2 linked regions of the Stegostoma tigrinum genome follow. The protein of the gene in region 1 purifies or fractionates together with the protein of each later gene. This does not show direct contact. Links are inferred from orthologs where the notes say so. Each region holds a gene or a part of one and is shown on either strand. Other genes may lie near its edges.

The links. The genes of interacting proteins can lie anywhere in the genome.
Region 2: the proteins of cnot1 (region 1) and tob1a purify together in Homo sapiens (co-immunoprecipitation; 3 studies listed by BioGRID and IntAct, counting the BioPlex papers as one, with this or other methods). This does not show direct contact. The link is inferred for Stegostoma tigrinum from reciprocal best matches to the Homo sapiens genes CNOT1 and TOB1.

Annotation. Positions count from the first base shown.
Region 1 is NC_081369.1:4,604,339-4,611,769, forward strand, and holds the start of cnot1 (CCR4-NOT transcription complex subunit 1), read left to right. Parts: upstream 1-4,426; 5' UTR 4,427-4,585; exon of another isoform or gene 4,586-4,977; 5' UTR 4,978-4,996; coding exon 4,997-5,098; intron 5,099-7,431.
Region 2 is NC_081375.1:6,583,922-6,591,421, reverse strand, and holds the start of tob1a (protein Tob1a), read right to left. Parts: upstream 3,010-7,500; 5' UTR 2,780-3,009; intron 1-2,779. UniProt on the Homo sapiens protein: Anti-proliferative protein; the function is mediated by association with deadenylase subunits of the CCR4-NOT complex. Mediates CPEB3-accelerated mRNA deadenylation by binding to CPEB3 and recruiting CNOT7 which leads to target mRNA deadenylation and decay.

The DNA.
Region 1 (7,431 bases):
GAGAAACAAAAGGGCAGAGAAAGAGAGACAGTAAGAGAGAGTGGTGTAATTAGTGGAAGGTAAAGGAGGTGGACGTTGTATAAAATAGTAAAGGTCTGAAAGAGCTAATGCTGAAGAGTTTTAAGCATTGCTCGCTATGTTTTCATGTGGATTTAAGGGCAACTCAGGTTAGGATCTTGACAGTGTAAAACATAATTTCCAGGTTCTCTTCAATCTCTGAATGGCTATAGCATCAATGTAACCTTAAACAAGATGCTAACATGCAACACACAATTTCTTGTTCAATAATACAGCCTCTTCTAGTTACAGCAGAAAGTGATTTTCTTCTACCACAGCAGGCCAGATAGGCCTGAGTAGATCCCACCCCTAAGGGTTTGTGGGAGCAAACCTCCCACATGGTGAGGTGCAAGACGACAAATTGTGAAGCTGGATGAACACAGCTGGCCAAGCAGCATCTCAGGAGCACAAAAGCTGACATTTCGGGCCTAGAAGGGATGAAGGGTCTAGGCCCGAAACGTCAGCTTTTGTGCTCCTGAGATGCTGCTTGGCCTGCTGTGTTCATCCAGCTTCACACTTTGTTATCTTGGATTCTCCGGCATCTGCAGTGCCCATTATCTCTGATCACATGGTGAGGTGAAGACTTGGTTGAGCTGCACAAAGAACAGTGGAAAAGGTAAAATAAAAGAGAGAAATAGCATTAAAAAAAAATCACATATCCACATTAGCTGTTAGGACTTGGCGAAGCAAGTCATTGTGAATGATCCAGTGCATTCTCTTCCCTGCTGTTGAAATCACATTCAAGTAGGCTTTCATGGTATCTTTAAAACCGTTCTGTTGACCACCCTAGGACCTTTGACCAGTCGTGAGCTGGGAGTAGAAAGGTCATTTTGAACAAGTGTTCAGCATTCTCCTGCAATGGCCTGTCTGGAGTAGTTATCATGTAGGATTGTTCATTTCCTTGCTCACGATGCCTACTTCCTGTAGGCTGTTTATATTGCATGGTGTTATGCAGATTAGATATTCGATAGGCAGCACTGATGGTTTTGTCTCAAACTTTCCCAGGTGTCACCAATTTGTCAACCAAATTTTGCAGCCTGACGGGCGTGTTGGGAAGACAACCGCTTTATAGACTGACATTTATACCCATTGTCGAATGCAGAATTCAGAAGAATAAACTATTTTAGAGTCTTGAAAATACGGAACTTGCTACTAGCAAAGTGTAGTACATTAAGAGCATATGGCAATCACCAGTCTTAAACCTCTTTATAGCTAATTACAAAGTTTTGAACTGGAGCCAGTGTTGTAATGTGGAAAATGCTAGACAAACAATGGGAAAAGGGAATACATATATCTATGATGATAGATTGAAGACGGAAGGAGACTCAAGTGTAGCTAGTACAGACCATTTTGGTTATGTCTCCTATCTAAAAATTAAATATTTAGTGGCAACTCAAAATACTGCAACCATTGCAGACGAAAAACAGTGCCATCTGCTCCAAATTCCCCATTGATTTGTGATTATCTCGCTTTATTCCCACACTATGCTGACAAGTATCAGCAGAGACTATTTATTTTTGTATACCTTTCTTAAACCACACCCAAGTTACAAGTGCTGTATCAGCTTTCTGTTCACAGTAGTTAGCACTGATTCAAAGAATCACTCACAGCTAAATGACAGTTAACTGCCACTGAAAAAAAGTTTTTGTTGTGTTGAGGAGCTTGCAATTTCTTTTAACAGATTTTTTACAAGTCCTCAAGGTGTTGTTTGCTGGTCAATGGCTTTCTGTGAGGGTCCTCCAGGTAGTCCATGGGTAGGTCCAATCGCAAATCACTGATATGCAATGCCAGGGTTAATTGTGAGAACACACCAGAATCCACTTGTGTCATCACACAACTGGATCGGCTCCCATGTGTAGCATAAATTGTCAAAAGTGTGAGAAACAACAATATTGTTTTATATTTTATCTTGTTACAACACACCATCACAAATTTGGATTTTTAAACAATCAGAAGAACCAGGTGAACATGGAGGCCAACATAAAAATAAAGCTCCCCACCTTAAGCGAGACATTACCAAAACCAACATCAATTTTCCATAATTTTAATGCTATTTTAGGAATGGCAACTGTGTTGGGTGAAGGGTGGCGAAAGGCCAATAGGTGGCATGCAAGGTCCATTGCCATTGGAGAACCAATTAACTGAAACATTTAAACTTAATTTCCTCACATGAAGGATGTAGTGAGGTGGAACTTGCTGTCGCAGAATAACTGAACAGAACAGCATTGAATTACGCTCAGAGGTATAATGATAAGAGTGGAATAGAAGCAGGGCTGTGTGAGGGTTAATCCTGAAAGGATTATAAGGGCTAACTCCCAGAGGGGTGGGATGGGATGTTAATTAATTGGGGGAAGGGAGTGGGGGTGGGGGTGGGGAGGGGCTGTCTGAGGGTCGATCTCCAGGCGTGGGGGTTGGGAGGGGCTGCCTGAGGGTCAATCCCCAGGGTGCGTGGTGAAGCGGGTGGGTCAATCCCCGGGGTGTGTAAGGCTCACAGGGTTAATCAAAGTTGGGGGGGGGTGGTAAAGAGGGGTGGAATATGGGGCCGGGAAGGTGTGTGACAGTTAATCTGGGGGAGGTGATGGTTAGTGTAGGGGAGGGTCGCTGAGGGTTAATCCCGGGGGGAGAGGCGGAGTATTGGGGGGGAGGAGCTGTGTGAGGGTTAATCATGGGGAGGGAAAAGACTGTTGGGGGGAGAGGGCGGTTTGTGATGGTTAATCCCGTGGGTGGTGGACGGGGGAAGGAGCTGTGTGAGGGTCAATCCCCGCGGTGGTAGAGGTGCTGAGAGGGTTAATCCCCGGGAGATGGGAGGAGGGTAGGATGAACAAATTGCTCCTCTCTCGTTAACGCGCCTAATAATTATTAGAGAATAACCTACCCCCAACACTTGGTACAGATTCGGAATATTCCGCTTCAACAAGAATTTCCCTGTTGGCACAGAATGAAATGTCTTTTAAAACTAAAAAAACACCCATTCCACGAAGATTCGATTTAAAAGAAACTACAGAGTAAAATTTTGCGTGTTCGTTAAAGTAAAAATTCGTTTATCTTAAAGAGGGCGACAAAGTTTGGACTGTACCAATTTTGGTGGGGACAGAGAGACGTCTGCGATTGACTTGTATTATGTACGCGGTCCCGGCAACTGAGGGCGGGGTTTGTTGTTGAACCCCTGGCGGCGAAATGGGCGATTCCTGTGATGTGCATATTAGGCGCGAGGTTTACTGTCGCCATGGGCGACGTGAGTGGCGTGGTTTCTAGCCGTGATTGGCCGGGAGTGTTTATGATTGACATGAGGATGCCTTCTTTCCCCTACCCGCCCCCCGATGACGTCCCGGGAACCTGGGGGCGGGATTTCCTCTGAGATGGATGAGGTGTGGGAGACTGATGATTGGCGTGTAGGCGCGCTGTGCCAGTCACGGCACAGGTCAGCGTAGGCGGGATTTGTGAATGGCGGGTTGAAGTCGAGTGGCCTGTAATTGGCGGATTGTGGCGGGTATTTGGCGGGATGTGTGATTGGCCACGGCTTGTTGGGGGCAGGGCATATGATTGGCGGGTACGACCAGGGCCTGCGACTGGTCCTGGCGGATGGGGGCGGGGCTTGAGGGAGAGCGTCTTTCTCTCGAACTATATCAGAGAGGGCGATGTGGAGGGGAGGAGGGGAGGAGGGGAGGGCCGAACATGTTTTTTTAAAAAAACAATTAAAGAAATAAAATAACAAACTTTGAACATATACCCGCACTGTTCTCAGCTTGAACCCGCTAACCGGAAACCCTCAACTGTTTACCGCCCCTCCTCTATCCGAACAGTCTCGCTCTCGCCCGACTAAGCGGCGGGTTCGGGGATTGTTTTCCTTCTAGTGTCGGTGTGTTTTTTTTAAAGAAAACCAAAAAAGCAAGCAATAAACTGAAGCTGAAGGCTCATTTCTTTCCCGGAGAAAATGCAAACACGATCGGGTCGGCCCTGAAAAGTTTCCTGGAGGAACATATTTTCGCCTTCCCCCCCCCGCCTCCTCTCCTCTCCTCTCCGTGTGGTTATTGTGTTTTTTTTCTCTCTCTCTCATTTTGGAAGGGTCGGTGTTTCCAAGATGGCGCAGTGAGCGAGGCCGCCGCCATTTGCAGCCGCTTGCACCGAGCCCATCAGCGAGAAAGTCGAGAGCGAGCACCCCCGTCACCGCCGCCCCCCCTCCCCATCACCACCTCCAAGCAGCAACAACAACAACAACCTCCCCGGCCCAGCAGGCCCAGGCCCACGCCGCGCTCTCTTCCCCTCTCCCTTCCCACCCCTCCTCCACCTCACCTCTCCTCCTTACTTTCCCTCCCCCAGGCTGCTATCCCCCAACATCCCCTCCCCCCCAACATCCCCTCCCCCTCTCTCTCTCTCTCTTCCCCCCCCAATCCTCCCCACACTCTCGGCCTCTCCTCTCTCGCTCTGTGTGTGTGTGTGTGTAACCCTACCGGCAGAGCAGCGCCATGTTCAGGCTACACGGAGGAGGAGGAAGAAAAGGAGGAAGAGGAGCGACAGCGGGTGAAAAGTGAGCGAGCAACCCGGGCGGCGGACCTAACTGAAATCGAGAGAGAGAAGAGAGACAGACAGACACACACACACACACATACAGACTGAGACTGACGGGGACAAAGTCTGAAGAGGAAGCGGAGCGGACACTTTGTGGAGTGACCATTGGAGCGGCGGACTTTCCCGTGAGAACACTTAGAAGGAGCTCTCTTCCTCCCCAACCCCCCTCCCCTCCTCACCACCACCACCTCCTCCGAACCCCTCAATTCCCTCCCTCTTCCATCGTTGTATATTTAAAAAGAGAGAGAGACAGACAGACAGACAGAAAGGAAAGGCGCTGAAGAGGAGAGATAAATTTTTCTTTTTCCAGTAAAAGAAAGGGGAATAATGACCATTTCCCGCTTTCCTCAGCTGACCGCCCCGACCAGCAATGAATCTTGACTCGTTATCGCTGGCCTTGTCTCAAATCAGCTACCTTGTGGACAACCTGACCAAGAAGAATTACAAATCCAGCCAGCAGGAGATCTCTCATGTGAGTTTGCCGAGAAACAAGTCTCGCACACCATGTACTAGAGGCCCCGGGAGCCTGAGGCCTGCTTCATTTCACCGAGAAAACGAAAGTGTTATGTGTGTGAGAGAGAGGGAAACTGATGTAACAATTCTTTTTTAGAAAACAAAACGACTGTCTTTGCAAACTGGTTACTCCTTTATAATGATAAAACATCAAACAATTGTAACAATAAGAAAGTAGAAAGGCAAATACAAACTCACATGGTGAAGTCTGGGCCTACCAAAAAGTTAATGGTCACATATTGAACTTAAAATTGTTTAGCGTGTAAGAGAGGGAAAGCTCCCTCGGATATTAGCTGCTGAAACAGATGGGCAGAAAGTTTTTTTTCCACGTTTGGTAAACTTTACGCTTTGTATAAACTGCTCAAGTCGGTGCTCGTAACTAACACCTTTAGGAGTGAGGCCTAGTAAAGGGGACATCAAAAGTGGGGGAAGGGAACGAATGGAACTTGTCTGTTTCTTGTGTATGGACCTGTAGTTGAAACTAATTCTTTTCAGCAATACTTCGTACTTAACACAACTTTTTGATTTGTTAAACGTTTAATATTAAGTAATTAATCTGCAAAGATTTTAATTAGAAGTATTCAGATTAATTGACAGCTTAACAAGGTCTCATTTGGTTCCTGTTTTGTTTCAGTTTAATTAGAATTCTATTTCAATTTAACTATACTAATGTGTCTCTTAGTCAATTGAACTAGTTCATTCCCTTGTTTAACTTACAAGTTGAGAGAAACTTCTCTAGCTCATTTGTTGTGAATCACTGGACTTCAAAAGCAAATTGTTCTTTGAAAGTGTCATCTAATTGTGACTGTGACTGTTCCTTGCATTTGGAAAGTTGAGTACATGTCTGTCAACCATTGGAAGGAAGTGGGATTTGTAGAAAATACCATATAGTTGAATGGCAACTACAAAGGTGTTGAAATTTTTTGTCATGATTAAGCTGGAACAGTCGACAAAATTGAAACCTGAAACAAATGAGAAAACCACTTGAATTCAGAATTGTCTTCTTGCTTGAAGATATGTTTGAGTAGAAGGTGCAGTTTTGTAACTTATTGCTTGATCGTTATACATTAGGACAGTGAAAGACAATCGTTCTTCTTTTACAGCAAACTTTATTTGATATAATTACTGGAAATATACTCAAGGGGAGGCAATGCTCTAATGGAATTATTGCTGGACTATTAATCTGTAGACAGGTAATGTTCTGGAGACCTGGTTTCAAATCTTGCCAGGGCAAATCATGACATTTGAATTGAAGAAAACTCTGGAATTGAACTCTAATGACAATGAACCCATTGTCAATTTTTGAATAGACCGACCTGGTTCACTATTGGTTTTTTTAGGGATGGAAACTGCCATCCTTCCTTGGACTACATGTGACTCCAGACTTACAGCAATCTGGTTAACTCAGACCTGCCCTCTGGGGTAGGCAGTAAATGCTGGCTTAGCCAGCAGATGCCCTCAACCCATGAATGAATAAAAAAACTCGACCAGTATCTGTGATGAGATAGTTTGGAATCCTTGGGTATTTTTGGATTTTGTTTTGATCTTTTCAAAACAATTTGCAACTTGTTCTTGTCATAGTTTAAAATTCAACTGAGTTCTAAAACTTACTGAAGTTTTTGAACATTGAGGAAAGCAGTCAATGTGTGATCTTTAAGGAGAGAATTTACCCAGCCTTAAAAAAAAGTACTTCAGGAAGTTTAGTGACTTGCTCTGCTACAAATTTATTAATTGTATGTGAAGTTGGCTTTGCTAATTTATGATTAGTCATAGAATTATACAGCATGCAAACAGACCCTTTGGTCTGACCAGTCAAAGCTGACCATGTTCCTAAACTAAACTAACCCAGCTGCCTGCATTTGGCCCATTTCTCTCCAACCCTTTTTTATTCATGTACTTATCCAAATGTCTTAAATGTTGTAACTGTATCTGCATCCACCACTTCCTTTGGCAGTCCAGTTCCCATACTATGCCAATGTGTTTTTTAAAAAAAAAGCCCATTCTTTTTAAATCTTTCTCCTCTCATTTTAAAAATATGGTTCTGAACTCCCCCAGCCTAGGGAAAAGACTAATGCCTCTATAATTTTATAAACCTCTAAGGTCACCCTACAACTTCCTATGCATCAGCGAAAAAAGTCCCAGTCTTTTCAGCCTATTTTTTATATCTGAAACTGTCCATCCCCAGCAACATCCTGGTAAATCTTTTCTGAGCCCTCTACTGTTTAATAATATCCTTCCTATAGCAGGGCAACCAGAACTGCGCACAGTACTCCAGAAGAAGCCTCATCAACC
Region 2 (7,500 bases), on another chromosome or scaffold:
TCGGGGGGGGGGGGAAGGGAGTAGTCGGGGGGGGGGAAGAGAGTAGTCGGGGGGGGTAGTCGGAGGGGGGGGAGTAGTCGGAGGGGGGGGGAGTAGTCGGAGGGGGGGGGAGTAGTCGGAGGGGGGGGGAGTAGTCGGAGGGGGGGGGAGTAGTCGGAGGGGGGGGGAGAAGTAGTCGGAGGGGGGGGAGAAGTAGTCGGAGGGGGGGGAGAAGTAGTCGGAGGGGGGGGAAGTAGTCGGAGGGGGGGGAAGTAGTCGGAGGGGGGGGAAGCAGTCGGAGGGGGGGGAAGCAGTCGGAGGGGGGGGAAGCAGTCGGAGGGGGGGGAAGCAGTCGGAGGGGGGGGAAGCAGTCGGAGGGGGGGGGAAGTAGTCGGAGAGGGGGAGTAGTCGGAGAGGGGGAGTAGTCGGAGAGGGGGAGTAGTCGGAGAGGGGGAGTAGTCGGAGAGGGGGAGTAGTCGGAGAGGGGGGGAAGTAGTCGGGGGGGGGAAGTAGTCGGAGTGGGGGGGTGGGACATTTGAGGGGGGGCAGGAGGCGGGGGGGTCGTTGCAGGTTTTCAGGAGATGGGGGTGGGGGCAGCTTGGGCAGGGCTTAAGGAGGGGGTCTTAAGGGAGTGGGAGGGTTAAAGTGGGTGGAGGGGAGAAGAGAGAGCGGGGGGGGGGGAGAAGAGAGAGCGGGGGGGGGGGAGAAGAGAGAGCGGGGGGGGGGGAGAAGAGAGAGCGGGGGGGGGGGAGAAGAGAGAGCGGGGGGGGGGAGAAGAGAGAGCGGGGGGGGGAGAAGAGAGAGCGGGGGGGGGGAGAAGAGAGAGCGGGGGGGGGGAGAAGAGAGAGCGGGGGGGGGGGAGAAGAGAGAGCGGGGGGGGGGGGAGAAGAGAGAGCGGGGGGGGGGAGAAGAGAGAGCGGGGGGGGGGAGAAGAGAGAGCGGGGGGGGGGAGAAGAGAGAGCGGGGGGGGGAGAAGAGAGAGCGGGGGGGGGGAGAAGAGAGAGCGGGGGGGGGAGAAGAGAGAGCGGGGGGGGGGGGAGAAGAGAGAGCGGGGGGGGGGGAGAGAGAGCGGGGGGGGAGGAGAGAGAGCGGGGGGGGGAGGAGAGAGAGCGGGGGGGGGAGGAGAGAGAGCGGGGGGGGGAGGAGAGAGAGCGGGGGGGGGAGGAGAGAGAGCGGGGGGGGAGGAGAGAGAGCGGGGGGGGGAGGAGAGAGAGCGGGGGGGGAGGAGAGAGAGCGGGGGGGGGGAGGAGAGAGAGCGGGGGGGGAGGAGAGAGAGCGGGGGGGGGGAGGAGAGAGAGCGGGGGGGGGGAGGAGAGAGAGCGGGGGGGGGGAGGAGAGAGAGCGGGGGGGGGAGGAGAGAGAGCGGGGGGGGAGAAGAGAGAGCGGGGGGGGAGAAGAGAGAGCGGGGGGGGAGAAGAGAGAGCGGGGGGGGAGAAGAGAGAGCGGGGGGGGAGAAGAGAGAGCGGGGGGGGAGAAGAGAGAGCGGGGGGGGAGAAGAGAGAGCGGGGGGGGAGAAGAGAGAGCGGGGGGGGAGAAGAGAGAGCGGGGGGGAGAAGAGAGAGCGGGGGGGGAGAAGAGAGAGCGGGGGGGGAGAAGAGAGAGCGGGGGGGAGAAGAGAGAGCGGGGGGGAGAAGAGAGAGCGGGGGGGGAGAAGAGAGAGCGGGGGGGGAGAAGAGAGAGCGGGGGGGGAGAAGAGAGAGCGGGGGGGGAGAAGAGAGAGCGGGGGGGGAGAAGAGAGAGCGGGGGGGGAGAAGAGAGAGCGGGGGGGGAGAAGAGAGAGCGGGGGGGGGGGAAGAGAGAGCGGGGGGGGGGGAAGAGAGAGCGGGGGGGGGGGAAGAGAGAGCGGGGGGGGGGAAGAGAGAGCGGGGGGGGGGAAGAGAGAGCGGGGGGGGGGGAAGAGAGAGCGGGGGGGGGAGAAGAGAGAGCGGGGGGGGGGGAAGAGAGAGCGGGGGGGGGGAAGAGAGAGCGGGGGGGGGGGAAGAGAGAGCGGGGGGGGGGGAGAAGAGAGAGCGGGGGGGGGGAAGAGAGAGCGGGGGGGGGGAAGAGAGAGCGGGGGGGGGGAGAAGAGAGAGCGGGGGGGGGGAAGAAGAGAGAGCGGGGGGGGGGAAGAAGAGAGAGCGGGGGGGGGGAAGAAGAGAGAGCGGGGGGGGGAAGAAGAGAGAGCGGGGGGGGGGGAAGAGAGAGCGGGGGGGGGAAGAAGAGAGAGCGGGGGGGGGAAGAAGAGAGAGCGGGGGGGGGAAGAAGAGAGAGCGGGGGGGGGGAAGAGAGAGCGGGGGGGGGGAAGAGAGAGCGGGGGGGGGGAAGAAGAGAGAGCGGGGGGGGGAAGAAGAGAGAGCGGGGGGGGGGAAGAAGAGAGAGCGGGGGGGGGGAAGAAGAGAGAGCGGGGGGGGGAAGAAGAGAGAGCGGGGGGGGGGGAAGAGAGAGCGGGGGGGGGAAGAAGAGAGAGCGGGGGGGGGAAGAAGAGAGAGCGGGGGGGGGAAGAAGAGAGAGCGGGGGGGGGGAAGAGAGAGCGGGGGGGGGGAAGAGAGAGCGGGGGGGGGGGAAGAGAGAGCGGGGGGGGGGGAGAAGAAGAGAGAGCGGGGGGGGGGGAAGAAGAGAGAGCGGGGGGGGGGAGAAGAGAGAGCGGGGGGGGGGGGGAAAGAGAATGGGGCGTCAGGAACAGTTACCGTCGCTCTCCAGGAGCAGACTTTAAACAGCAGTGAGATAACCGCCCTGTTGCGGTAGCAGCCGCCTCACTGTCGCCTCTCTCTATCTATCGCCCTGAGTGCGGCCCGCGAGCGGAGAAGGTTCTAGTACTTACTCGGCTGTTCCTGGCGCTGATTAAATGGACAGTCAATGAGGGAGAATCTGAGGGAGAAATCCGTCGCGTTTTTGTTTTGTTGAACTTTTAGTAAAAAAATTTGTATTTTCTTTGAGGTGATATATTACGTTCATATATTTTATGTAATTTCCTTCTTGTTGCGGTCAGCGCCGCTCCTCCACCGCACACAACCCGCAACCTGCCAGGAGCGTTTACAACTCATTGCCATCGGCCCGCGGCGCACCGCTATTTATAGCCTCGCTCCCTCCGCGGACCCTCAGCACGGAGGGGGCGGGGCCACATCGTGAAGTGGGAATGCCCGGGACTACTTTATCATTATAACGTCCCGGTAGTAGGCGGGGCCTAGGCTCAGTGCGCAGTTTCGATTGGGCGAACGCGAGCGTGTCCCCGCCTCTTTCGCCGCAGAGGTATTTAAACGTTTGGTCGGGAGGGCGGGGCTCTGAAAGTAATGTTTTGATTGAGCTAGAGACATGTCTATCATTGCGTCCCTCAGAATCGTAAATGGTTGCTTTGGTAAATAGTCCCCACACGATCTAGTTCGTTTACAGTTAAAGTTCAACCAGAAGACCAAGAGATGCAAATCTAAATCACGTTATTAGTGAGTGCTGACATTATAGAAATCGTCAAAATAACAATCATAAGGTACAAAGTGTCCATATAGGCTTCGTGTGTGATAAACACTGAGTGCGCATGGATACCGAGTGACTGGTATCTGGCTAAAAATACAGGCGGCTGATCATGCCCCGTGCTCTGATTGGTCGGAGCGGGCAGTGGGGGGGCGGGGAATTCGGTGGGGAGCATTGCATTCTGATTGGCCGCCGGTATCTAGGGCCGGTGCCTGGCTCTAACCTCCCAACGAAAGATGCCGGGGGTTGGTGAGGAACGGGGGCGCGCGTTTCCTGTCACAACAAAACCGCTTGCCCACGGGCCGGGCGCGCGTCAGCATGTAATCGTCCAGTAGAGAGGGGAAAGCAGGACTGCAACATGCAGGTATATACATTTCGGTGCAATGACGGCGAGTTTGGCTGAGGCGGTTCGCACCGGGGCAGCCGCGCGCTCCCGATCAAGGGCGCTGCTGAAAGTCAAAAGCTGGTGGCAGTGCGCAAGCGCAAGACCCTGGACCGATGCATCCAATCAGAAGAGGCGGGCGTGGCCGTGGCGGAGCATGCGCACAGCAGGGTGGCACTGATCTTTCCTGCAATGGCGCAGCTGAGTTGGCAGCTTCAGGGGTGTCCTGCCTGTCCTGCAAAGCTGCTCTTGTGCAAACGTGCACTAATGGGGCCCTCGGTGCTCCCCGGACGCATTGGTAATGAACTCACGATCCATAGCCAAGACTGATGTACTCCAGAGATGGGTCAAAACACCACAGAATCATTTGGGGGAATTTAAATCCGCGTAAACGCCCGGAACCAATGGCTTTGCAGGCAATATTGATCAAGAAATTACCAGAATGTTACAAAAACCCATTTGGTTCGCAAGTGTACGTTGGGGAATGTAATCTCCTGCATTTACCTGGGCTGGGTAACAGGGCACAGCACTGTGTTTCACTTAGCTGTCCTCTGAAACAGCCCAGTAAGGCACTCAGTCCAGTGGGAATTGGGAACGGGCTATAAACTGCTGGCTTCACTAGCAACTGGAATCCCAAGAGTAAGGTAACACCAAAATAGCCCCTATAGCCGTACAACATTGTGTGTTCCATGACAACTATTCAAGAGTGCATACTCTGCTACTTACAATTAGAGAGAAAGGAGAGTCATGTTCCAGAGACCTAAAGGTACACAGTGTGAAAACAGGCCCTTTGACCCAACTCATCCATGCAGACCCTGTTTCATAAACCAAACTAGTCCCATTTGCCTGTGTTTGAATTAGTTTATTATTGATATTTTACCTCAATGTCATTTCCTGCATTATCCTCGCATCCATTGAGATCTTTAATATTTAGAAATTTATTAATTGACATGTTGAATATTCTCAGTGACGACGCTACCAGAACTCATTAGGTGAAATATTTCCTCTGCATCTAAGTCCTGAATAGCTTACCCGTTAGCTTCAGTTCCCCCAGATTCCACGCTCTGGAACTTAGCATCTAGAGTGAAGCACTTTCAGAATGTGACACAGTTCACTGAGATTACATCTTATTCTTTAGTCTTCAGAGTATGGGCTACTTTACACTGAATCTCTCCTCATAGGAAAGGCCTCTCATACCAACTATCAATCTTGCCCACCTTTGTTGCAATCCATCTTAGACAAGTTAAATGTTTCTTAAACAAGACAAGAGTTCCAAGGGTGGGTCTACACTTGCGTTAAGTGGAGTAAGACTTGTTTTTTTACCCTTATATTTTAATCCCTTGCAATTAAGCCTCATGTGCCATTTGTCTTGCTGGCTGCTTGTTACACCTTAAAGTTAACCTTTAAATTAACAAAACTATCTCAAATATTTCTTTCCTTCCTGTTGACAAGATTTGATCATGAACTACCAACTGACATCTCCTTGTCATTTATTCTATTCAAAATCAACGTTATTTTATATTACCATATGAAGAGAAAATGCTTTAATTTAAAGAGGGATCTCGAGCTGTTACATTTTAAGTATTAACAAGCTTCAATGGATGAGAAACAAAATGTCTAGTAATAGAACTATTAACACGACAAACAATAGTAATTATCTAAACACATATTTGGTACAATTCAAACCAGTGAAGAACCCTAAACAGCAACAAGTCATATTAACCAACAATGGTCAACTAATAAATTACGAAACAGCATCGAGCTAAACTAAAATATCAACATAAGCATGTGTTCAAATGAATCCAGCAGATCGAAGACTATTAAAACCAAAAAGTTACACAAACAAATAATCAAATGCAAAAAGGAGAATGAAACAAAAACTTGCAAATACAAAAACTCTACTCCTCGAAGCTAACGATAAAAGTTTTTAAAAAACATATATTGAGAAGTAAAAGTGAATGTTGGTCCTTTAGCATAATTTCATTTTTTACTTACTTTGAGCTGATTAAATATCTAGAGGGAATAATGAGAACCAAGAAAGGCACTTTTCTGGGTCCTCAGGATGTTTAAAGAAGAAAGTGAGAAAGTTGCAGTTTGTAATGTTCCATAAGTCTAGATTATGTCTTTGGATCAGAAAATTGCAAATGTCATTCCTTTATTTGAGAAATGACAGAGAGGGAAACCAGGTACCTACAGACTTGTAAAGTTAACATTAATTAGGGTGAGGTTACCTTTTATTGATCAGAATAATTGAGTCTTGGATCAATATCAATTGATCAGAGAATCAACAATATTTTGTGAGGTTGTGTTTGACTAACGCAAGTTAATAGAACATAGAACAGTACAGCACAGAACAGGCCCTTCAGCCCACGATGTTGTGCCGACCATTGATCCTCATGTATGCACCCTCAAATTTCTGTGACCATATGCATGTCCAGCAGTCTCTTAAATGACCCCAATGACCTTGCTTCCACAACTGCTGCTGACAACGCTTTCCATGCTCTCACAACTCTCTACGTAAAGAACCCGCCTCTGACAACCCCTCTATACTTTCCTCCAACCAGCTTAAAACTATGACCCCTCGTGTTAGCCATTTCTGCCCTGGGAAATAGTCTCTGGCTATCATCTCTGTCTATGCCTCTCATTATCTTGTATACCTCAATTAAATCCCCTCTCCTCCTCCTTTTCTCCAATGAAAAAAGTCCGAGCTCAGTCAACCTCTCTTCATAAGATAAGCCCTCCAGTCCAGGCAGCATCCTGGTAAACCTCCTCTGAACTCTCTCCAAAGCATCCACATCTTTCCTATAATAGGGCGACCAGAACTGGTTGAATTTTTTGAGGAGGTTACTGGCATAGTGAATCAGGGAGTATATGCAGACACTGTCTTTTATCAATGTCCAAGTGCATTTAATAATGTTTTACAAATTAATTAGACTGGAAGCATATGGAATTGGAGGTAACCCTGTGATGTGGATTAATAATTGCTTGGAAAGGCAGATAGACAGAAGGGTTAAAGGAAACCTTCTCTGATTAGCAGTTTTCCATTTTTCACCGTATATAACCAGTTTGGATGAAGAAATGAAGAATTACATTTCCAGTTTTGGACTTTACAAGAAGTAGCAAGCAGTGTGGATGGCAGCAGAAAGTTGTGAAGGCCGTAGACAGACTAAGTGAGAAAAACGATGGCAGTTTAACTCAGCTGGAACACAACATGGGGAAGTCTGAGGTCATCTGTCTGGATTGGAGCAATATAAATTACAATATTTTCCAACTGCGGAGGGACGAGGAGAGATAGAGTGATTCTGGTTAGATCCCATTTATGCTCAGCTCTGGACACTGTATGTCAGAAGGATATATTTATTCTTTGAGAGGATGCAGGACAGATGCAGGAAAATGATACTGAGGTTTAAGGACGTACACTATAAGCGTAGATTTCTAAGCATCGCTTATGCTTCATTGAGGTTAGAATTGTAAGGGGTAATCTAAATGACTTTTAAATTAATAAAGGGATCAAGCAGATAGAGAAAAACTAATATCTCTGGGGATTGCGGGTACAGAAAAAGAGGGCAAAATCTTATAATTCAAACTGGGTCTTTCAGGGATGCAATCAATAAATATTTCTTCCCAAAAAGGGGAATCTGGAGATTATGAACCTCAACTGATTATAAATGTTATGGATCAATCAACCTTTC